5 linked regions of the Xenopus tropicalis genome follow. The protein of the gene in region 3 purifies or fractionates together with the protein of the main gene of each other region. This does not show direct contact. Links are inferred from orthologs where the notes say so. Each region holds a gene or a part of one and is shown on either strand. Other genes may lie near its edges.

Evidence for each region.
Region 1: the proteins of zranb1 (region 3) and gcc2 purify together in Homo sapiens (affinity purification with mass spectrometry; 3 studies listed by BioGRID and IntAct, with this or other methods). This does not show direct contact. The link is inferred for Xenopus tropicalis from reciprocal best matches to the Homo sapiens genes ZRANB1 and GCC2.
Region 2: the proteins of zranb1 (region 3) and strn3 purify together in Homo sapiens (affinity purification with mass spectrometry; 4 studies listed by BioGRID and IntAct, with this or other methods). This does not show direct contact. The link is inferred for Xenopus tropicalis from reciprocal best matches to the Homo sapiens genes ZRANB1 and STRN3.
Region 4: the proteins of zranb1 (region 3) and cttnbp2 purify together in Homo sapiens (affinity purification with mass spectrometry; 3 studies listed by BioGRID and IntAct, with this or other methods). This does not show direct contact. The link is inferred for Xenopus tropicalis from reciprocal best matches to the Homo sapiens genes ZRANB1 and CTTNBP2.
Region 5: the proteins of zranb1 (region 3) and strip1 purify together in Homo sapiens (affinity purification with mass spectrometry; 4 studies listed by BioGRID and IntAct, with this or other methods). This does not show direct contact. The link is inferred for Xenopus tropicalis from reciprocal best matches to the Homo sapiens genes ZRANB1 and STRIP1.

Annotation. Positions count from the first base shown.
Region 1 is NC_030678.2:109,427,291-109,432,331, forward strand, and holds the start of gcc2 (GRIP and coiled-coil domain-containing protein 2), read right to left. Parts: upstream 3,391-5,041; 5' UTR 3,293-3,390; coding exon 3,287-3,292; intron 1-3,286. UniProt on the Homo sapiens protein: Golgin which probably tethers transport vesicles to the trans-Golgi network (TGN) and regulates vesicular transport between the endosomes and the Golgi.
Region 2 is NC_030684.2:113,226,075-113,230,954, forward strand, and holds the start of strn3 (striatin-3), read right to left. Parts: upstream 3,391-4,880; 5' UTR 3,097-3,390; coding exon 2,878-3,096; intron 1-2,877. Other genes in the region: ap4s1 (AP-4 complex subunit sigma-1), read left to right, coding at 4,467-4,604. UniProt on the Homo sapiens protein: Calmodulin-binding scaffolding protein which is the center of the striatin-interacting phosphatase and kinase (STRIPAK) complexes.
Region 3 is NC_030683.2:20,384,499-20,389,529, forward strand, and holds the start of zranb1 (ubiquitin thioesterase zranb1), read right to left. Parts: upstream 3,382-5,031; 5' UTR 3,359-3,381; intron 1-3,358. UniProt on the Homo sapiens protein: Ubiquitin thioesterase, which specifically hydrolyzes 'Lys-29'-linked and 'Lys-33'-linked diubiquitin. Also cleaves 'Lys-63'-linked chains, but with 40-fold less efficiency compared to 'Lys-29'-linked ones.
Region 4 is NC_030679.2:68,648,563-68,653,256, reverse strand, and holds the start of cttnbp2 (cortactin-binding protein 2), read left to right. Parts: upstream 1-1,304; 5' UTR 1,305-1,384; coding exon 1,385-1,456; intron 1,457-4,694. UniProt on the Homo sapiens protein: Regulates the dendritic spine distribution of CTTN/cortactin in hippocampal neurons, and thus controls dendritic spinogenesis and dendritic spine maintenance.
Region 5 is NC_030678.2:72,084,764-72,089,648, reverse strand, and holds the start of strip1 (striatin-interacting protein 1), read right to left. Parts: upstream 3,391-4,885; 5' UTR 3,384-3,390; coding exon 3,258-3,383; intron 634-3,257; coding exon 564-633; intron 1-563. UniProt on the Homo sapiens protein: Plays a role in the regulation of cell morphology and cytoskeletal organization. Required in the cortical actin filament dynamics and cell shape. Part of the striatin-interacting phosphatase and kinase (STRIPAK) complexes.

The DNA of each region.
Region 1 (5,041 bases), on a different chromosome or scaffold from region 3:
AACTTTTCTTTAAAAAGCATGCGTTTTCCCCTGGAATTCCAAGTACAGATATAGGATCAATTACCCAGATTGCTTGGGAGCTTCTGAAATAAAAGCTCTTTCTGTGACACAGAGCATAACACCTAGGGATAATGTAACACTATGCATTTTCTCCACTAACAAAAGAATGCCAGCAAAGAAAATGCTTATAACCCCACAAAAATATATAAACTGCACAACAAATAAAGTAAAAAAAAAAAAATATTAAGAAAAATCTATGCTTTGCTTTTTCCCATGTTTTTGATGTGAACTGTTTTTAGCTGATGTAATTCATTAAAGAATAGACTACATTTTTTTGAAAAAAGATAGCTGTAGAGAAGAACAAAATGGTGAAAATCAGTCTAAAAGCATAGTCAGTTCCTTAATAATCTGTGCTGAATTACTATGCACATTTTGAGAGCACAGATGTCTAAATACAGACTTTCAAGGGTCTAAAGCTGGCCATTCACTGAAAGATCCACTCATTTGGCAAGGTCCTTGAGGTGAGCATTATCGGATTGATCCAATCGTTTGGTCTTCAGACCAAAAGATCGGATCACATTACCGGTATAGAGGCTGTTGGGACAAGAACTGCATCAACACACATATGTGCTCCTTGTCCCAACAGGATTTTAAATCTGCCCAATCGATATCTGCCAATATTCGGCATGGTATTGGCTGGTAGGCCCATTTGAGGGCCCCATACACAGGCTGATAAGCTACAAACTTGAATTGGCCCGTGTTGGGGCACCTTAACTGGCTTAAAACAGACAGGGACAGATTCCCAGGCGATTAATTGCAAATGTAATACAGGGGATAAATAATGCAATAAAGGGAAATGTAATAAAAGTCGGTAACAGGGAAAAAAAATTGCAACGTGACAATGTGCAAACAAAATTGCAAATATAACATGGCTTTTGTGAAAACAGAAAACTGTTTAGTGACCATTTGTGAGTTATTAATCTAATGAGTTATTATGTCTTTTATGAATGGGCTTTGGTCAGCCAGGCAGATCCAGTTCCACACTATAGTCTTAAAAGATAGATGCATGTGGTAAGTGAATCTTGTATGAGGGCATTAATGTGTTCCTCTCCCAACAGGCCTTATATGCCTCTGTTATGATCCCAGCCAGATGAGCCTGATTTGGCCCAGCATGTAGTTGGAAAAATTGGGCAAGATGCAAGGTGGCCACATGAGTGGATATTTAGTATGCCCAGCTTGATTGTGTTTCTGCAGTGCTGCTGGTCCTGTTCCTAATCCTGTTATTTGTTTGGTTTTTAAGGGGTTCTAATCTGATCCCGATTCCTTGTTCTGACACTGCCACTCATGTTGGTCAGTCTGTTTTGTGGTTGTTAAACTAGTTACACTGCTCCTGACCTTGGCTTATTTTTATCATTGTTTTGATTATTTTAGGCAATGAACAACTTGATTCATGATATCATTAAATGTGTTGCATATTGGGGGGGGGGGGGGGGTCTGTCCATGTACTGAATGAGATTCAATATTTGGGCCTCAGTTGCCAGGATGGAATAAGAACATTACTTGCACCATAAGATATATTCAACAATGGGCTGTCTGATGACTATATGACTCAATGTATGTTGCTGGCATCTTTTTTAAAGGAAACTATATCTCTGAACATTGCTGGTGTCCAGGGTCAGACTAGGCCAGCGGGGCACCGAGAAAAAATCCAGTGGGCTACAAGCACCTTAATAATTTCTTTTATTAATGTTACATTTTCTAATATGACATTTGTTAACAATTTGAACTAAAGTTGTATTATCCTTTTGTACTTTGTATCAATATTTTAAATGGATAATAAAAAACTAAAAAATGAGAAAAGAAAAAAAAACCTTGCATAGAAACTAGCATAGTCATAAAAAATGCGTTATAAATGTGTAGTATTTACACCAGATTTTTACACTTTTTATTCATATGTTTTAACTTTTAACAGACTTTGCCACTGTTAGAGTGATATAAAATGATATAATCTGCATACAATCTGGCAAAACTCTGATGTACACATTGTTTTAAATAGCTGCATCCAGAACTATTACATACAGACGATGCTTGCAAACATGGGAACTCTTGCTTTTTTAACAATGTTTAAAGGAGACATATAGTATAAATTGGAAAACCCTAATTTTGTAGGCAATTATGAATAATATACGGTGCTGGTTTCCCTTTGGGCTAAACATTAATCCTATCTGTAACAATGGCCCCTTTATTGGAGCTCCCTATAGGTCGTATCACTTCTCCCTCCAGTGTGAAATGAAGAGTGGGCGTGTCCTAACGGTCCCTGCCAGAAGCACAGTAGGAGGGGGAGAGCCAATCACAGTCCTGCAGTCACACAAGCACAGACAGGCTTCAGTTCCCTATCAGGTCAGCCTAGCTGCTGATTGGTTCCTATCCTACAGTGCAGTGTACGGAGGGCCGCCGGCTCCCCAGCTCATCCAGAGAATTCAGCCAGCAGGAAGTGGGACAGATGGGCGGGGCTAGTGGGGTTTTGGTGGAATTTCTCAATAAATCAGTCAGAAACACAACTTTTTTAGCACAATCCTTCTATATCTAGAGGAGTATAATTCTCTGGTACATTCTTAATTTTTATAGGATATGTCTCCTTTAAGGGGTTTAGGTTAATTAACAACAAAACATTTCAAAATAAGCTCAAAAGCTGTTTAAAACATATTTTTAGGATAGATTTGAAATTTTGAGAGAGAAACTGTAATCCTAAGCAAGATGTTTCCTTTCATGTGGCAAATGTGTATATTTGGGTTTTTATTCCATTTATTGTGCCCAAGTAAGCAGTCAGTCTTGTGTCAGTCACAAGCAGGCCAGCTATTGTTCCTGTTAATACAGATAGAGCAAACATACCTACAGGTCCGGATATTCAGGATATACCTGCTGAGAGATTCACTGCTTGCAAGATACCAACACAGTTACAATGTACAGCACATTTACACCGCAGCCACAATCACATTTCATTTAACATGTTCAGAAAGGGAAAATATAGAACGTTTGGGAGCTTTCCAAATGTCTCTTCCTGTAAACCATTAATGGACCAGACTTTATCACTGATACAAGTCACATATTTGAGAATGAAAGTAATTGTACGAACACTGACCCACCCCCTATACACAAGTAGCTTATCAAATTAACAGTGTAAGTAGTACTAGAGCCACCGCACACACAAGCGCTACACGTTAGTGAGCTGAATACTTCTAGTCTACTTTTATTCTACATCTCCTCACAGAACCCCGGCTCTCACCTCCATTTCTGCATCAGCAGGAACCGCTCTACTTCCGTCTTCGTCACTAGAAACGTCACAAATTAGCAGAAACCCCGCCCCACGGAACGCATCTCTCAATATCTAAACGCCTCCCCGAAGCAATTGGCTGGCATTGACGCGTAGAAATGGTACGCTTTATTAGTATCCGTTTCCTTGGCGTAAATAATTTTATAGTCTATGGTAAATATTAACGGAGGGTGATTAACCTGCCTCTTATTCTGGTACCAGCAAAATGGTTGAAAACTTACCTGTGTTCAAAATGTTTGCATAGAAATGAAACGTACTAGAAAAATCGCAATTTAGCCACTTTATAACAAATAGGGTTTACTATATCCCCTTAGTCATATTTAAAGGACATGTAAAGCCACATTTTTCTACCATGTAAATAAGATGGGCACATCTTCCCACCTATATGACACCATTTATACTGCCTATCCCCTCCTTTGCCAATACCATAACATTTTCTTAAAATAAATAGCAGTTTTCACCCAGTGGCTATTTTCGCTATGACACATTGTTAGTGACATTTACATCTGCAAATGCATATGTCCACTTCATGCAATGAAGAATGCAGGCTTACACAGGCAGAGCTTACTTTGATAAAAAGCCCTGTTTGAATTGAGCACTGTAATGGTTAAGCTGAGCTCAGGACAGGAGGTTAGAAGAAAAAACATGTTTCTCCAGCAGAGGCACAGCTAGACCAGTGTTTCTATTGAAGGGAAGACAGATGGACAGAGTGGGGAGAGCTGGAACAGGGAGGTCTCAGCAGGGAGCAGAAGGGGGTAGCTGGGAGAGGAAGGACAGATGGAGCGGGGGAGCTAGAACAGACAGGACGCATTGGTGAGTGGGAGGAGCAGGGGGAGAGGGAGGACAGATGGAACCAGCGGGGGAGCTGGAAGAGAGAAGATGCAGGAGAGGGATGATGCAGGAGCGGGCACTAGTTTGACCCAGCAGGGAGCTGGAGCTGAAGGGGGGGGGGGGGGAGAGAGACTATAGGCTGCCCCCCCCAACAGTCTGACGGACCATGAATTGGTCCCTTACTTTAAAAGTTTGAGGACCCCTGGATTAAAGAGATGCTGCAGCCCTACTATTAACCTTTGAATAACAGGAGTGGCAAGTATTTAAAGATTCCAAAGACGCTGTTCACTGATTACATTTTTGTGTGGGGGTTTACATATCCTTTAATGTTTGATGGCAGACTAGATTTGTCACCCAAGGTAAATCTGTGCAACCACAGGTGACAAAATGGGTCTGTTGTGATTTATGTATTTTAGTATTTTTATACACAAAAGATTTTTATATTTTTTTATATAAAAAGATTAAATAAAGATTCAGTTGTAAACAATTTTTCTCTTCTGTTGCCAGAATAAGATTCAGGTTAATCACCCTACATTAATAGTGTTTCTGTCCTCCTACTTGTATATAAATGTTTTTTTGACCTTGGTGCAACTGTGGTATGGATTGTGGTGCCTACCTGCACACAACTGGGTGCATACCTCCCAACCGTCCCGCTTTTAGTGGGACAGTCCCGATATTTATAGCACTGCCAGCTGTCCCGGATTCATTGTTAGATGTCCTACTTCTCAGCATTGCCATTTAATTGATTGCTGTGCCTGCTCTGCTCCGGGGAATTGGCCCTGGTTATAACTTGGCAAATACACAGAACTGTTGGCATGTCTGAAGTTGATATGCCCTTTATCAGTTTCATTTAGTAATTTTACTGGGATGTCTGTG
Region 2 (4,880 bases), on a different chromosome or scaffold from region 3:
CTGGATATTTGTGCCTCCAAAGTGATTTAATTTAGACATGGAAGGTGATACGGTTTGTTACTGAGGGCTGGAGCCTGACCCACTATCACTTTAGCAAGGTGATCTCACTTGGTGATGTTACAATTATTTTCAGGAGATGACACTTCTTAGGGCCTTGTTTTTTTGCAATATGATATCCAGTAAATAGTATGACAAGTCTTAAGTGTAGTCGCACAAGAGAAGTGTTAACCCCTGTGCAGCCAATGAGTGGGAATTTAGAGAAACCCACCACTGACTGTAGAGTTAAAGCACAAGAATGTTCTCAGACCTGCCTTACATAGATGAAAGCCATTGCAACCTGGCAATTTGTTGCTATGCGGGAAGTACTTGTGCAACTACATTTGCCCAGTGTTAAATTGGACGCCAGAAGTTACAGCACTAAACAAATGTGTATGCAGTGTTTATAATACAGGTAACACTTGTCAATTGCAATCAAAAAGTGCAGAAATATATTGAAACCTAGCATTTTTTTAAAAAGATTTCTGAATAACCATTTTCACCTTATCAACTGTCTATCAGGAAAATGAAAGCCCAAATGACTAGTAAGTGTAAAATGGGCCTAACAGCACAAACTTTTTAGACCTTTCTTACTAACAGAGTTAAATTTGGGAAAGAACTGGTGAATGAAAAGGTTTGTACAAGTTGAGTAGCTGAAAGCCTCCTGGGTTTCCAGCAGCTGTTGGGTCTTCTCTCTCTATTGTGACTGCCCTGGATAAGGTTATAGCATATGGTGTCATAAAGGCTAAGTGTAACACACTGCTGCTGATTCCCAGCACATGGACACCCTGTTGGACACTTACACTTTACTGCCAAATGGGAAGGATCATAACTGTTTCTTTGAGTTTTACAGAAGTTTAGATACAAAGTAACTAGTAATCTGATTGCAATGGCAGCATGGAAGTCAGGACTAGAATTGCTAACGGCTTGATCAGAAGCGCCGCCTTTTGCTAATGTATCTTTGTAACATCCAAAGGAACTCAAATAGCAGCAATATTCTGCACAAAGGGAACACAAAGTCATACAAACTGGGCAAATGCCGAGCGAAACACAACTAATCAATACTAGCCAAAGTCAGAGAACCTCAGAGCCTTGTGAGCAAGGCAGATACATCACCTGCTTATAGAAGGTTGCAGTTCTAGATTTATAAAAATTCTCCCAATTCTCCTAAATGTGACACTGGCTACATGTAGAGCCTGCCAACCCTCACCATGTGCCTTGCTTTCTAGGGATATAGAAATAGAACTAATCAGTATTAACAAAGACAAACATGCCATATTACAATAGAACCCCTGATTTTATGTACCTGGATTTAACATTTTCCCATTATTGATAGTTTTTCAGTTTTCCCATACAAGCAAGTGGCGTCTTGTTCCCCCCCAGATTTTATACCATTTTGACACCATCCACTGGGACATGTAAAATCGGGGTTCCACTGTATCCTGATTAGGCTATTCATTGTCAGCCACTGAAAATTAAGCAACAATTAAGCTATTCTTGATTGATATAGTATCACAAACATCTTAGTGAATACCCCAGTTTCAGGACAGTTATTCACATACACACACAGTTAGCCAACATAATAAAAGGAGCACCACCACCAATCAATTCCAGCGTACTAGCACTGGGATAGAAACAAAAGCTCATACATGGCCTTCACAATTACACATACCTACCTAAGTCAGTAGTTAAAATGTGAATAGAGTTTTTATTCACTGCACTTAATTATAACATGTTTAATATAGGGTTTATAAAAGGTATGGGCAGAATAGACAAGAATGCATAGGATTAGATCAAACAATGTGTGGATTAAAGTAAAGTTGCACTTGAAAATAAAGGACGGGCATTTTCATTACCTGTGAATACAATAGGATCTTAGAACAGGATGGACCTGTGCAACCAATGGAACACTTTATAAGTTTAAAGACCTATGTAGAACAATCTGCCTGGCTCAGACTGGGCACTAGCCCACATATAGGCTATCCTCACTCACTGTGGTGTAGCTCTGCTACTTTGAGATTTGGGGAATAAGTCTAATACAGCTTACAATCCTATCTGTCACCCTGCAAGCCCACTGGGGTCAGCATGACCTGGGCAGCTGAAGTGAGGCAAATGAATGCCTGCAGACAAGATCACTAGGTGCCGGCCCTGGGAATGACAGGAGCAACAGGGCAGTCACTTGGCCCAGTCATTACAGTCCAGTTACCCACTGTCACTGCTCTGTCCTGAGCTGGAGAGGAGAGACAGGCCTTCCCCAGGGGGAGGCTGCTAATGGGAGCAGAATGTCGGCCACGTAGGCCCCTATATAGATAAAAAGAAAGGTTCCATGGCATTGCAAGAAGGTTGGGCTCTCAATATGTGGGAGGGTTGTCCCACCTGGGCCCTATGAACGCTGCAGAACTACAATTCCCAGCAACCCCTGGTCAGTGGTGGGTGGGACGCTAAAACCCAGCTAGAGGGCAACAGATTGCCCCCCTGATCTGTATAGGGACAATATCTGACAACTGTTACACACTTGCAATTCTTCCCCACAAGGGAGCCATGAGATACTGGGGGTCCAGAGCAAATGCCCTCTCTGCCCTACCCTAAAAGCGAGCCTGCCAAAATGGCGACCTGAAAGTAACCGAGCAAGGCCCCGCTTCCTGTCACTGCATTCCCCCTGGGCACCTGTGCCGGACTCCCCGCAGCTCATACACAGCCGGAGTGTGCCGGGGGTGCGGGGAGATGTAGTTCAGCTGGGAATGAGGAAAGGCCAGAGACGGGTGCGAGTCTGTAGGGGGCGCCACACTGCCATCCCGGTGGGGCCCCCCGTCTCTCCCTATTGTTCCCCGGACCCCTCACCTGCAGCTCGGCCTTCTCCACCTCCCAGTGCGCTCTCTCCATCTCGAAGCGGGCCCACTCGTGTTGGATGTAGTGCAGGATCCCGGGGATAGTGTACTGAGGGGGGCGGCTGGCTAGCTCACAGCCAGGCTCAGATGGGGCTCCCTGGGACTGGGCCGGACCCACGGCCTGCAACCTCGGAGACGCGGCCATTCCTCCGGCCGCCGGGAGATCCTCCATCCCGCCGCTACCAACCCTCTCGCAAGGACTCCGCTACAAGTGACGCGTCCCGTTAGGGGGCAAATAGCTCCCCGGTGCCAGTCAGGAGAGAAGCAGTGAGATGGAGCGGCCGGTAACTCTCGCCCCCCCGGAGGGGAGCCCGCCGCCGTCCCGTCTATAAGTTGCGCACAAGCGCACTCCTGATATTGCCCATTTGTTATCTGTCACTTCCCCCCCGGGGTCCGGTAAGCTCCGCGGGGCACTCTGGGAAACACCGGCCTCACACACCGCCTCCCGCTGACAGCGTCAAGGCGCATGCGCGGGCCTAGCGGACTGACGTCACAAAGGCAATATGCGTCACGTGATCCCCGCCCCGCCCAGAGGGCTAGTAGTGACGTAGTTCCGCATGGAATGGTGACAGCCGAATGCTACCGGAAATCATTGTTGGTTAGCCGGCCGCTCCACTGATGGGATGCTCCCGCCTTGAACGGGTAACCGGCCGTCGCTTTCAGGTTTCGTTGAGTGGCTGAGAGATTTTATTCGCCGGCCCCTGGAGCCGTGATCTAAATAGAAACGTGTTTTATCAGCCTGAGGAGGGTTTAGCAAATGGGGAGCCAATTAGATTCACTGTGCACACACTACATACAGTATGCATACAGTAGCAATGGCCACCTCGTATCTACAGTGAATTCAGTAAGCAGCTTCTGCCTATCCTTGCCTGTGCCATTGTTCTCTCCCATAGCCTGCAGCCCGCTATTCCCTAGGCTCCATGTGAGTTTCATGCCAGTATAAATACGTTGCAATAGTATGACTTGAGGCTTGGGATACCGGCAGCTTGTTGGTGCTGGCCTGAGAGTGTTCAGACAGTAGGGACTAAAAAGTGGTAAAGGGATGGGGCAGAAAGAATGCCCTTAGTCTCCTCACTGGCCCTGCAGATAAATGTCAGTGTGGCCCTTGGTCACCATGGCCACTTCCCATTCACAGGCAGGGGGGCTCTTGAGTTCAGGTATTGTGGCTGGCCGGAGGTACCCCAGTCCAACACTGGTCTTATTTCTAAATATTCTCATTTAGAAATGTGGTCAGTAAGCTGCAAGTTGCAGCCAATCAGAAATCCCCCTATCTGTATCCCACCAGATCCCTGTAGTTTCAGGCTGATAATAAGTGAGCTCCTATTTCCACCTTACACCTTTATGCTGGTGTTTGGTACATTTCAGTTCAAGATAGTGCTAAATCCTCTTGCTCCATCAACAAGCAAGGACCTTAAACCATGACACAAGAGACACCCTTTGTTGCCGCTATAAGCATCTATAGCCTGCATTGTACATTAGGACATCTAACCTGATGTTTTATATACATCCTTTCCAGCTCTGGATAGCAGCTCGTCTGTAGAGATGATCAAGTTCTTCCTCATTGTGAACAAGCAGGGACAGACCAGGTTGTCAAGATACTATGAACGCATGGAAGTCCAGAGACGGACACTGCTGGAATCTGACGTCATCAAATTGTGTCTGTCACGTTCCAAGGATCAGGTGAATACTGCGTTATGGAGGTTGTAGGATAGTGACAATCCCTGCCTCCTTACCTCCCCTTTTATCTGTTTAGATGGAGCCTACCCTTATTTTCCCTTATGCACACACTCTGGGTAGATGTTGATATTGCCTTATGGAGTGAGGCAAAATATCAGGCCTAGCCCAAAGGTATGTAATCAACACACACTGTTTGTTTACATTTTTAGCTGGATGGGGCCCAGGCTGCTTTATTGTTAATACCCCTGTGTAAATATTACCATTGTGCCTCTTTGCTAC
Region 3 (5,031 bases):
CAATATTTCAATTGCCTCCATTGCTACACAGCAGCTTTGTTTATATAAACTTTAGTAGTGTTTCTAATGCAAACAGATCAGTTTTACCAGTGAAAGGCAACAGCATATTTTAATCACTTTCATTTTTTGGTGTTTCTGTTGCTGTAAAGGCAGCTTTTAAATGGGGGTCACTGACCCCAGTAGCCAAAGGAAACTATCCTATCGCTATCTGAAGCTCACTTTTTATCATTTTATTATCTATTTATACACTTTCCAAGTCATATTCCAGTCTCTTATTAAAAGCACTACCTGGTTGCTAGGGTTAACTGGACCTTAGCAACCAGATAGTTTCTGAAATTCCATAAAGAAGAGCTGCTAATCCAAAAACCACAAAACCTAAGTACAAAGTGCCTCAGACTCTCAGTCTAAATCATATTAAATTTTTTTTGGTTGTCAACATCAGTGACCTGTAACAGCAGAAACCAAAAATAGGTACTTTCCCCCTTTTCATTTAAAGGACATACAGGCTAATAGTAGTTTAAAGTCAGAACCACAAGTGCACAATGTATAAACAATGAGACACTGCTTTCGATAGTGGATACATTTACAAATAACTTTAAAATCACTGAAAACCTTTAATAAATGAGTATTATGAAGCTGCTTAGAATTACATTTTCTCTCATTATGCAAAAGACTGATTTTAGGTGCAGTTTCCCCTTTAAGTGTAAATTCTACCTACTTAGCTTGAGCTCTTCAAGTTGCATTGTCATTGGAGTAGCTTGGATGGAAATGACCTTTGAAGTATAAATAACTAAGAACAAATCTGCATAAAGGAGGCAACCCATCACTGCAACATGTTTACATAATGGAAACTCAATGTCCCAAAATAATTCTATATGTTAGTATTTGGCCTACATATGCTCAACCAGAATTAGCCATAATACCGTTAAAGGTGGCCATACACGGACCGATTTTTTACTTACAAACGACCGATTCCCGAACGATCCGATGCTATCGTTAAGTTATCGTATAGTTGGTGGTGTACGAACGATCGTCGGCCCACTAAACGAGCCGACATTATCGTCCCCAAAATCGATCGGCCAGGTTTAAAAATTTTGGTCGTTTAACGATAAAATCTGCCAGTTGGTGTGAGTGTCAGACATTTGTCTTTCAACGATTGTTCTCTGCGCATGTCACGATTGCAAGCAGCGGAAGTCAACGACATCGATCGTATGTAGATGTACGATCGTAGGTATTTTACGATAATGATGCGACAAAATCTTTCCCGAATTATCGTTGCCCGTGGATGGCATATCGTATGGGAACTCGATCGCCATACGATCGTTTGTCGATATAATCGTTCATCGCACAACGAGCGAAATCGCCTCGTGTATGGCCACCTTAAGGGTGAAGACACATGGAGCTACTTGTAGCAGCTACTTGTCAAGGCTACTAAAAAAAGACAATGCTAATCATTTATTGATAACGGTCTCTACGTGTGTTTTAGCAGAGGCAATTCTCAGTATTGTCTATGGCAGGGGATTTTCAGGAGTTTAGTAGCCTTGAAAAAGTAGCTGCTACTAGTAGCTCAGTGTGTCTTCACCCTAAAAAAGGAGGACTAAATCCAGAGTAGTTGTCTGACATTAAGCACAACAGAAAAGCCCTCATGATCATCCCTCAGCTGCATTAGTGTGCAATAAGGAACACTCGGGCCCCCCTATACCTTGTCTGCAGGGGTCGGCAGCCAAAGCACATCCGATTTCAGACTTTATTGTGGAGATAACCAGCCAGAGGCATGCATGCTGAAAGCGCATCTGTTTCTGGCTTCCATGCTCCTGGTTGGTGATTACCGCCATTTCACCTAAAGCCGAATGTGATTCAGGGAGGCCCTATTTGGTTTTGTTTGTTTATTTTTTTTAAACCATACCACCAATGTGATTATGTGCTTAAAGTCAGACAACCTCTCTGGGGGGTTAAGTTCGCCTTCAACCCTTGTTCATTTCAATGGCAATCACCAGACCTGTAAGGGCACGCATGGCACTTGGGTAACAAAACACCCTGAATACCCCCCTGTGCCAATACCCTAAGGGGTGCAGCTGGACAAAAGATATTGAAGTTTGCTTAACCAATCATTAGTCAAATGATCACCTGGCACACAGTACTCTCGGCTCAGTAGGAAACGGAAGGCAGCAAATGGAAAAGAGCCGAGCACCCGCAGTGCATTACCAAGAAGCATGCTGGAACCTGGATACAACCCAAGACACCCAGTCAGTCGGAAACTTCCTTTGTCTACGTGCATGTGTACTATACAGCCATAACCTGGCCCAGAAATCCTTATCCTCTATGCAGATAACCTATTTATTGATCTACCTGGTGTATCCACAGCAGAAAAAACACACGCATACCTACCCATAAATTCCTGTGTGTGTGTTCTAAACCCAGACTCAAACTCAAATTGCTGTTTAACTACAAATCCCAGAATTCCCAGACAGCCTTTGGCTGCCAAGACATGTAGCTCATTATCTATAAGTGAAGCAGGCCAGATGTAGGTGGCCTTACAACAGGTGTAGTACTACAACTCTCAACTTTCCAAATAGTCAAAGGTTGTCAGGAGAGGTGGGAGTCAGTTCAGCATTAGATAACTTTAACCTGTCACAGCGCAAAAGTTCTTCTCGCCTTCCAATATCCATAGCGTGCATGGCAGGGGTGCATGACCTCCTTCTCCTACAGCAGTGATCCCCAACCAGTGGCCCGTGAGCAACATGTTGCTCCCCAACCCCTTGGATGTTGCTCTCAGTGCCCCCAAACCAGGTAGTTATTTTTTAATTCCTGACTTGGGGGCAAGTTTTGGTTGAATAAAAACAAGATTTCCTACCAAATAAAGCCCCTGTAAGCTGATAGGGTGCATAGAGGCCCCTAATAGCCAATCACAGCCCTTATTTGGCTCCTCCATGAACTTTTATGGTGCTTGTGTTGCTCCCCAAGTCTTTTTACATTTGACTGTGGCTCACGAGTAAGAAAGGTTGGGGATCCCTGTCCTACAGGATTATAATGATACCCCCGGTGCAAGCAGCTCTCAATATACCCTGTTACTACTCAAATAAAACTTCCCTGGAGTACATACACACAGGTTTCAGTAAGTCAGAGATACAAGTGACATCACCAGGCACCAATCAGAACTGATGACATCACTAATAACAAGCACTAAGACAGGTTGTACATATCTGCTGGATAATACAGTGACAATATCTTACAGATGTTTATCTACACCATCCTCCCCAGGCCATATTCCCTCTCTGCCCTGCCCAGTGTGGCCAAGGGAAATGATGGACTGGTATGAATGCAGTAAAACTATACAAGGGGAGGGAGGAGGCAGTACCTGGCCCACAGAGCTGACAATCGAATGGGGAGAGGAGCTCATTAAGCCTACAGTTTCCATTCCTCACCAACTAAGAGCAGAGTGAAACCCAGGGTCACATCCGCATCACGTGATGAATTTCCAGGCCAGTGACTGGCTCTGCCAGTGGACTAGAGAGCTTACAGTCTACCCGGTCTCCTGTATGAGGGCCGCCAATGGTGAGCTGTAGGCGCGACAGGGACAGACGCAGCAGGTTTCGGAGCCCCACCACAACCCAATTAAAAAGACGACAGTCGCCTGGACATCACAGCTGTCAGTGTATTTATGACGAGCAGGACTCTCACCTGACTTTATCCAGCAGCCTCCCTCCGAGCCCCGCTCATCTCCCCCGGGACCGGACCCCTCGGTGCCGCTCGTCCGGTCCCTCCCGCTCTCGTCCGTTTCTGTGATGTTCTCCAGCTCGGCTCCCTCCGGTCGTTTCCTGTAATGGCGGCTCCGGAGACCGAAGCAAAATAAAAGCAGACGGGAACTGCGTGACGTCACTAGGCACCCGGGGCCGGCCAGCCATGCGATAGGCCTAAACGCACGGAGCAGCCAGCCAATAGGAGGTTCCGTCTTAAGCGGCTGGGCCGGTGACGTCATGAGAGCGGCGAGTGAGAGGAAAATAACAACAAGAGCGTAGAGTGACAGGAGCTGGGGAGAGGCGCTGCGGCTCCAGTGTGTCCGGCCCACAGCCCTGATTGGCATGTATTACTATACAGGGACGGGGATGCGGAAAGGCATAGAAGGCCAGTTTGGGGGTGGAATTTAGATACAGAGGATTTATATTATATATATATATATACTTGTTTTATGCAATAGGACAGCACCCTGCCATAGAACAAAACGTGGTGCACGTCCCCAACAGGTTCCGATATCCTTGCACATACAATAAGTTCAACAATGGACAGCACACACTTTAACGTGCAAAAGGTATATGAAAAGATCAAATTCATACCCGGCCGGGCTCCAAACGTCGCATTTTGTGTACAGTATGAATTTGATCTTTTAATATACCTTTTGCACGTTAAAGTGTGTGCTGTCCATTCTTGAACTTATTGTACAGGTATCGGACCCCTTATCCGGAAACCCGTTATCCAGAAAGCTCCGAATTACGGAAAGCCCGTCTCCTATAGACTCCATTATAAGCAAATAATTCACAATTTTAAAACTGATTTCCTTTTTTTATGTAGAAATAAAACAGTACCTTGTAATTGATCCCAACTAAAATATAATTACCCCTTATTGGGGGCAGAACAGCCCTATTGGGTTTATTTAATGGTTAAATGATTCCCTTTTCTCTGTAATAATAAAACAGTACCTGTACTTGATCCCAACTAAGATATAATTACCCCTTATTGGGGGCAGAACAGCCCTATTGGGTTTATTTAATGGTTAAATGATTCCCTTTTCTCTGTAATAATAAAACAGTACCTGTACTTGATCCCAGCTAAGATATAATTACCCCTTATTGGGGGCAGAACAGCCCTATTGGGTTTATTTAATGGTTAAATGATTCCCTTTTCTCTGTAATAATAAAACAGTACCTGTACTTGATCCCAACTAAGATATAATTACCCCTTATTGGGGGCAGAACAGCCCTATTGGGTTTATTTAATGGTTAAATGATTCCCTTTTCTCTGTAATAATAAAAC
Region 4 (4,694 bases), on a different chromosome or scaffold from region 3:
TTCTTAATTTTTATATGATATGTCTCTGGGTTCAGAATACTGTAAATTGATGCTGTTCTCAGGGCACCATAAACAAGAAACAAATTGTTACTGCATAGTAAACTATGATTTTTTCATTAGTTAGGGTGGCCATACGTCATAAGATCCGCTCATTTGGCAAGGGCCAAACAATTAAATGATGGGAATCGACACCTTTATACTGGGTTTACTTCAATATTGGCATAATTGTAAAAACAATCAGCAGTATCAGAACACTCATCTTGCTCTCTAGTTATGGTTGTGCAGAACTAGGCCTCTACAGACAGCAGTCACAAGAAAAACAGGAGCTTCAGAGCCCCAAAGAAGATAATGCAGATAGAGAGAAGCAAGTTGATATCAAATCTAATTGACTGGAAATAATGTCTAATGAGTTTAATGCCATCAAACAAATTGTATGAACCAGAAATCGTTTGTTGCACAAACATAGGAACAAAAACATAGTCCTGTTCAGAATAGTTAATTGCCTATAAGGTAATTCCATGTACCAAACACTTACAAGATGATGCCTGCAGGACCCAGGCAGATAAATCAGTGCATAGGAGTATGGAGGGGACAGACTAGAAGAGGCACCTGTATACTGCTATCCTTTTCTGTTGCTGTATTTGTGACAGACAGGCAGGGAACTGAAATAAAGGCAGGTGTACAGGCAATGTACTGATTAATCATAAAGGGGGTTATGTAACAACAGACACACAATGTTCTCCAGCTCTTGTATCTTACAGTAGTTGCTATGGGTTACTGGAACTAGGGCAATCTTTGCACCTGCTTTCTGCGGGGTTGTATGTGAGTATAAAATCTCTTTTAGTGACACTGGTGTGGGAGTGATTTGTGTATGTGCACTTTAGTTTCTATATCAGTTTCATACAACGAGTAGGCTGACGTTGGGTTTTATTGCCTGGCTGTCCAATATGAGGACCAAAGGGCTGACACGGTCCTCAAAGCGGTTCGGCCCCTAGCTTGCCCACACTGACTTTGGATTAAAGTTTATGACGTGGGTTGTATTTAAAACTATGTTTTATTTGCCAGACTACCTGCCCGCTAACTGGAGTAAAGTTAAGTAGCCGTGTTCTGCTGCATTTAGTCGTGACAATATGAATTAAAGCGATTACTATGGATACTGGGAACTGCAGTATTGTATTATTGAGGGTCACGTGTGCTGGCAGTCCGCTAAAGCAGGAATGTGCAGGTGAACTGAGAGTTAACTCTTGGCGGGCTGGAGTAGGAGGAGTAAGTGTGCTTCTGACGGGCAGGCAGAGGGTTAAGTGTGGGCTTACTGGTGGGGGCTGTCCTCTCGGCTGCTCTCCTCTTCCCTGGCTCCTCTCACTCAGTCCTCAGCAGCTGGAAGATGGCGACGGTGGAGGGGAGTGAGGAAGAGCAGGCTGAGCCTTTCTGCACTGCCCAAGGGGACACGGATAACGTAAGCGCCTCATTGTACTGCAGTTACTCCATGCAAGTGCTGCCCCGGCAGTGGGATCAGGGGGAGCGATGTGCTTTTAGCTCTGAGTCTTAGGAGCTGTCACTGGTTTATTAGAGCGATATTGATTCCTGCTTCTGGCGTACAATTTTCTGGCTTTAGTAAGAAACAGAGAGGTGCATTCGAGGGCTGCACAAATGGGGTTCGCAGCTGATTGCAGGGATAATATATGGGGACGTGTATTGGTTAAGCCTGATTCTTGCAGGGATAATATATGGGGACGTGTATTGGTTAAGCCTGATTCTTGTGCTGTATAATGCGAGCGTGCCTAGGGATTTATGTAATAAAATGTGTCAAGTGATGGTTATATGGTTCCGCCTCCCAATTGCACTTCCTAGGAATGGTGGGAAGCCGCTTGGATCTGCGCCTCCTTTCCAGTGCTTGCGATTAGCTTTGTCGCATAGGTTTTGTCTAACTGCGCTCCTCTAATTGTGTGCACTGCTGTTGAATAGGAGATTTGAAAATTCTATGAGAAGGCTGGCTCTCAGTGTATGTAACATCAGCTGTGCAGGGGAGCTGTGTCTCTATGCTGACTATCATAGACGTCTATAAATAATAGAAGACTAAGCAGCTTGAGCACAGGGATTCGCTTGTTATGATCAATATTGTATTAGCTGTATGACGACAGTGGGTTTTATTTCAATTAGTAATGTTACGTGTGTAATTTATTACCCTGTTTTCATAAGGGATATCCCAGAAAGATGGTAGGACATGGGGATTCAGTCTGCAGTTAAGTCCCCTCCACAGGGCAGACTCCCTGTACCAGAGCCCCACCATAATAGTAAGCCCAGAGTGTTATTGGGGGGGGGGGGGGCAGCATCTTTTGATAACCCCCAAATATGGAAGAGAGTAGGATATCTCTAGCAGCCTGTCTACTGCTGCTTACTTTACACACTATCCTAACCTAGAGCTCAGGGAGAAACTAAAATATTAATCTTAAAATATTACCCTTTCATAGACCCCAGGATTCTCAAGAAAGACTAGGAATAAGATTTTTTTGGATCCTTCTTTCTCAAAAGGGATTAGGAATAAAGGCTTGTTCCCTGCAGGTAAATGTTGTAGCTGGATGCTTAACAAGTTGCACATTATTAGTGACAATAAACTGGCCACCTAAGTAGCTGGTAAGGGAGCCAAAGAAAAAGACACACAGTTTGTAGATTTTGTGGCTTTTTTCCATTTTTTGCCCATTTGCCATATGAAAGATAAATTACTAGATTCCCCCTCAACTATGGATTGGTTATTCCACCAAAATTACTGCATTACAAATGATTACTCTCTGCACAATTGTCCATATATCCTTGCATTAGGACACGGTGCAATATAATGTGTTATACTGCCTATGCTATTTCCCAGCTCAGTGGAAAAATGCTCACTATTGCTGCTGCAAAGATGTACATGGGTATTTCCCTTACCCTGATGGTGTGATTGTTGGTGGGGCCATTAATGTCTGTCAGTCAACCTTTTTAGAGCAATAATTACTTGACTTGTGATCACACCAGTAGGGCAATGGTGTTTACCCTGAAAGTCTATGAAGCTGCAATTACAAGGGGGGTTGTGAGCATTTTGCAACCCTTCTTCCTGGAAATAGTCCTGGGTGCCTTTTAAATTTCCATTATATATATCAAACATTATTTATAATTTTAAATTAATTTGAATACAGAAACAATATATCAGAAAGCAGGTCCTCTCTAATCATAACTCAATTTCCCACTATTCCTTGTTCAATTCTGTTACTCTTGGAGTACTGGTTTGAGAAGAATTGACTGATGATACAATGTTGCAATGGTATGCCCAGCCAGGAAAAGGAGAGAAAGAACCTACTCTAAGTTGGAATTACATGTACACATATCTTTAAAACCATCGTTTTAATTGTTTATATTAATGTAAATTGTTTAGTTGGTTAGAATTTCACTTTTCTTTTATGCAAAAAAAAGTTTATGGGTGGACATTTTGAATAGATGTGCAAAGCTTATATTTCTTGTGCTTTAAAATAGTTTAACAGTTTAAGAATTATTATTTATGCCAACTACTTTTATAATACCAGCATTACTTGCTACTAAGTATATTATATTACAAACACGTATTAAAGGAGAAGGAAAATTAAAAACTAAGTAAGCTTTATCAAAAAGGTCTATGTAAATACAGCCATAAGCACTCACAGAGTCCTCTATCAAAAAAAACCACAGGATTTCTAGGGCTCTTTACTCAGGTATGATAAAGCTTTCTGCAGAATAAATATAGTGTTCTAGGTGGCACTATTGTGGCAAATCTATTGGCAGCAAAATGCCAAAATGACTTTTCTTCTCCTTTAGGGCTCTTGCACACGGGGAGATTAGTCGCCCGCGACAAATCTCCCTGTTCGCTGGCGACTAATCTCCCCGAGTTGCCTTCACCTGCCATCCCACCGGCGACAATGTAAGTCGCCGGTGGGATGGCACACGCGGCGGCGTGCCGAAAAAGACTGCCTACAACAGTATAAGTGGATCTTCGGAAACAAAACTGGTTGCTGTTATTACACAGCTGCGCATGAAATATTCAGGTCAGTTTCTAGTCGGTAGTGGGTAGTATGGAAATTGATTGTGGATAGGGTTTCTCAGACCACCCTTCCTATTCTGATTCCATTAAGGAGGGAGAAAAATTAAACATTAAAATATTAGTCTGAGAGCATGGATAAGTAGCTTGGAGACATATTTGGGGGACCTAAGCTCATTAGAATTAAAAAGTAGAAAGCAAGCATAGAGTAGCCATACCTGCTAATATAAATTAGGTGCAAACCTGAAAGCAGACACAGACTTTCTTGATATACTCCGTTATTAAATGATTATTTAGGAAAATAAAACAATGTCCCTAAATGGCCACAATTACTTATTCTATAATGATAAGGCTGTAGATTAAGCTGTTTTGGCACAGCCTAATATAAACATTGCTGTTATGCACAAGCATTCCAGGGGACAGTGCCCAAAATAAAAACAACTCAGTACCTCAGAGTGCAAAATGTACCTACTGTTTTCTCTAAAATTTACCTTTATATATTACATCAGCGTGCCTCTGTGCTTGTTTATATATTATACAATTACATTCCCTATTATTTTGTGAAAGTCAGTTTGTATGTATGTATACTTACATATCCATGTTCTGTTTATTGAATGGAGATGCCTAGAATATATCTGTGGCTATCTGT
Region 5 (4,885 bases), on a different chromosome or scaffold from region 3:
TTATAATGGAGTCTATGGGAGATGGCCTTTCCGTAATTTGGAACTTTCTGGATAACGGGTATCTGGATAAGTGATCCCAATACCTGTACTTATCTGGGCCATGCTGGTGTGGGACAACAAACACGTAATGACTGAATCAGGTATATGATTGTATGAATGAGTGACTCTCTTAATGACAAGAATACATGCAGCATGCACAATTGAAAGTTCCCTATGACATAACTGGTGACTTGTAATTACTGTGTAAGACATAGGCTAAAAAGGCTCTTCAATTCTTTCATGTTATTTAATAAAAAAAGTGGTACTGAGAAAATACATTCATATACCAGCTGATAAAAGTTTACACAATGGTAGCAGTTTGTTTGTTTGTGAAGAATGCATCAGCCAAAAGCAAGCAGCATTGCAGTTATATTTGTACTAATTTTTGCATATTGTGAGAGAACCAACTATGCACACTTATGTTGGAAAGTAGGAAAGTAAAAGGATGGTAAAAAAAATTATAAGTTGAGTAATATTTTTATTGTACTTAGTGTAGATGACCAAGATGAAGCCCTACAATTTACCTGAAAGTTCTGCTGCCCACTTGTCAGAATCAGCATATATAAACTCTAGGTCCGGAGACTCCGAATAGCCCTAAAATGAACAGAAGTGCCATAAAAAAATAAACAAAAAAAGAAACCCAGTGCAACAATTTTAAATTTATTTTATCATTCAAGTTGGCAACAAACAGCTAAAACACTTTATGGCATATTTATGTTTTCTGTCTGCACACATAAAAATAATTACAAAAGGCATGTAAATAGTATCACCAACAAATGGTCATCTTTGATGTATACTGTAGAACAATAAATCATCAACATGAAGACTGCGGTCTTGGAAATATGATAGTTCACAGGAGAGACTGGGAGATGGACCAGTCAAATTGTTCTATCATTATCAGATTGTTAGATTATACCCAAACAGTCAAACTAACAACAATTTTCAGACCTTCCCTTTAAATCAAATAACTAATATCTGTGGTAAGAGGATGTCTTATCTGATCATTCTTTGGACACAAAAGCCCAGAAAGTCATAAAAAAAAACCTTTTATCCAAAAACATTGGAAGGCTAACGGCTCTGGCACACGGGGAGATTAGTCACCCGCGACAAATCTCCCTGTTCGCGGGCGACTAATCTCCCAGAAATGCCATCCCACCGGCAAAAATGTAAAAAAAATGTGAGTTTCCTCTCAAGGCAACTTCCGCGATTTCAGTGAAAGCGCGCCGCCGCTTATGCCATCCCACCGGCGATTTACATTTTCAGGGAGATTTGTTGCGGGCGACTAATCTCCCCGTGTGCCAGAGCCCTAAGGGTGAAGACACACAAGGCGATTAGTCGGCATAAGTCTTTAAAAAGTCGCTGCGATTTCTCTACGCAGCGAAAACCTGTGTGCTATTAGTCGCAGCAACATATACAGGATCCTTTGAAGGGAAAGTCGCTGCGACCATTCGCCCTAATGGCACATGGAATGTTTTTTTTCCCCATTGCTGTAGATACACCAGCAGAGAAAAGCTGATCTGCTGCCTTCTGCCCCCTCTGTGTGCACTTCTAGGCAAGGGATATACCTGTTCACTCACAGAGAGCAAATACAAATACCTATTATTGCATTTCCACGCTGAATTATGTGTGGACAGCTTTCAATGCACTTGCAACTAGTCACAGAATATGACTGCACTCTTGGAAAGAAAAAAAAAATTATAACTTCGAAAGATATCAATTCTTTCTCATAAGACTGATGCAAACAAAACCATATTTCTTAGTAGTCTGGGAGATTTAAATGTAATCAGTTTTGAGACCTAACTTTATTCATAGATGTTCAGACACTGTACGTGTTACACCTTTTTTCCTCAAAGGCTAATTTGCTTAGGTAATATTTTCAGTAGCTCTTTTACTTAACAGGGAAAACAATGAAACTGAAAGTGATTTCATTTTGCAACCTGGTTCTTTAGAGTAACCGTGGAATAGGGTCACATTATAGCATAACACATTACGAGAGCAATTGTAAACCCCAGGTGATGAAGCAGTAAACACAGACCAATAAAAAAAAAAAAATCTCACTAGTAAAAGCAAGGCCATGCTAGGAGATCTTTTGCTCATTGAAATATTTTCATGAGTACCCAGGGCCCTCTACCCTCAGACTAACTTTCAGGCATTTTCTGTGAAACCATGTGACAGAGTGGTACATTTTTATACTATTTTCTTAAGTCTGAATCATGTTTACAGCCCAAAGAATTCTCTCCTCAGTTACTTTTACAATATGCACAGCTGCTCCCAAATACCATTTGTTTGTTCCACCCTGAGAAAGGTGCAAGTGGTGAAATCTTAGCTTTGCATTAAATTCAACTTTTTGAATAATACATGGGCATGATATTTCCAGGAACACTTTAGGGCTCATTTACGTCCACGAGTGCAATAGTGGTCCCCAGTTTCCCCCCAACCAGCTGCACCTAGCACCACTTTTATGTTCTCCTTCCTACCTTCCGTTCCAAATTGAGAGCTGCTGCACCAGGGGAAGCCTGGAGCTGCCACACACTTGCTGCACCTAAAGAATCAGGTACAGACCAAACAGTAGAACTGACGCCAGCTGGATTTTGGCGCAATTGCATCCAATTTTGGGTACACAGTTGCAAATCAGATACAACTGCAATAGACAGAGCAATTGTGCCAGGCGTATCACTCCACTGAGAACCACAATGACTCAAATTCTGGGGGAAAAAGCAACATTTTTTCAAAAACCTGCAGCAATTACGCTCAAAACTGCACTTTTCTCACTACATTTGCAGAGGTACATGTGCCTTTCTGTCACAGCATCTTCCTGCAGAACAGGAATATAATGTGTGATTCTAAATGAAATGCTCAACTTTCAGGATGACGGAGATTTAATTAAATATTTTTGATAACTATAGGTTATATTAACATGACAGCAACCACGAAGAACTATAATATATATTTTTGGTGAACAGTAAAACTAAGACAAGTCAGCAGTTTAGAATAGTTCGCAAAACTGATGTGAGATTCCTTTTGGAATGGGCTTTTTAATCAGGTAAGAACTGTCTTGTCTTCCTGTCACAGGTTCCCCAGACATACCCCGGTCACTAAGTAAGCATAAAAGCTGGCACACAGTTACATTACAAGGGTAATTCGAGGATAACTGAGTACTAATCAAACACAAATGTTAATGCAATATAGTTATACATAACAACCACTTTTACTCATACCTCTGAATCCTTGCGCTGTGTACGGTTGTACTCTCGTCCCTTGCCCGGTTGGGGGCTGCCAATTACCGCACCACCGATTCCTGTTCTCATTTTGTTGTTGACAATCAGAGAACCGGAAGCCTCCATCTTTCTCAGGCGACGCCCACGTGACGTGACACCGCCGTCTCAGTAGAACATTTGCGGTGGAACGCAAAGCCCAAGGCGTGTCTGTTTCTGCTTTCCAAACATCGCGATAGTATGAAGAGTCTCGCCCTTTCTTTGACAAACTGGGCGGCTTATAGAGACTGATGTATCGGCACCAGTGTGATAATCAGTGTTTTGTATATTCCTGTCTACATAACATGTATTTTATTGCTGAGACCTGCATTTATCTATATATCTAACCATGTATTCTCTGCAGTTACAGCGATGTTTGAAAGCCGGCTACCCTTAAAGGAAACGTTAACTCTAAATACATTCATGTAAAATTGGGCTTCTTGCCACTTTTATTAGGTATTCATAGATTTTAAGCTGGTAAACGTTTTTACACAGCTAATGCGTCTAAATTGAAATAATAGCACCATCTGCTGGTCAGTTCTATCAACCAAACTACAGTCAGAAAATTTCAGTAGAAGAAACTCTTGTAACGTTGTCAGAGTGCTTATACAATTGAGCAAAAGGAAGTGTCCAGATCTAGGGTATGAGCGCTGCAAATTGTGCACCTGATGTTTCTAAAAAGTAAAATTGTAAAATGAGGCAACACACATTAGCTATCCATAGATAAGTGAAATGCACAATTTACATTTTTAAGTTATCTAAATGGCCCCTGATAATGGGCAATCATTATTGGAGTACACGTACATCAGCAGTCAGGTGTCCTGAGATGAAAAGGCATGATTCCAGGTTCTTAAAAGGGATGGGGCTTGTGGATGAGTGGGCAAGGTTTTGTTGGAGTTTTGTCTTAAATTAAGCTTAGAGACAGGTTAGAACACACTGTATAGGAGGGGCAATTTTTGTTTCGTTGAGGCCCTATTTTACTTGAGACAGGGCTTACCATTCAGGGGGCCTAGGTGTCCATCAGACTATTAATTGGGACCCCCTGGTGAAGGTGGAGATCCCTGCTAATTTAGTAGGATGGGGCCATAGAACATACACCCTAGTTTGTAATTACAGTGATGAGAAAAAGTATTTGCTGCTCCATTGTTTTACCTGGTACTGCATATTTGCAAAGCGAGTTGTTTCCGAGTTTAAATGTAATATTACACAAGGGAAACTGAGCAAACACAAAGAACAGATTATATATATATATATATATATATATACACACTTAGGGCCGCTTGAGAAATCATGAAGCCCCCCACAACAAAATTTTCTGGGCCCCCCTCTTCTCATGTGCCCGCCCCCAGTGACCCCTCCCATCAGTACAAAGGACACACATACATTGTTAGCATTGCTGGCCAGGGCCCCCTAAAACATTGATTTACAAGTACATTAGAGGGGATTATAGGCAGATGGGGGATGTTCTTTTTTCCCATAAAAACAATCAATGCACCAGAGGTCACCCCTTTAGATTAGAGATTATTTATAGTTTATGTATGTGAGTGTATAGATTGGTAGGTGTGGGTTAGGTGTGCTGGGTTTACTTGGAT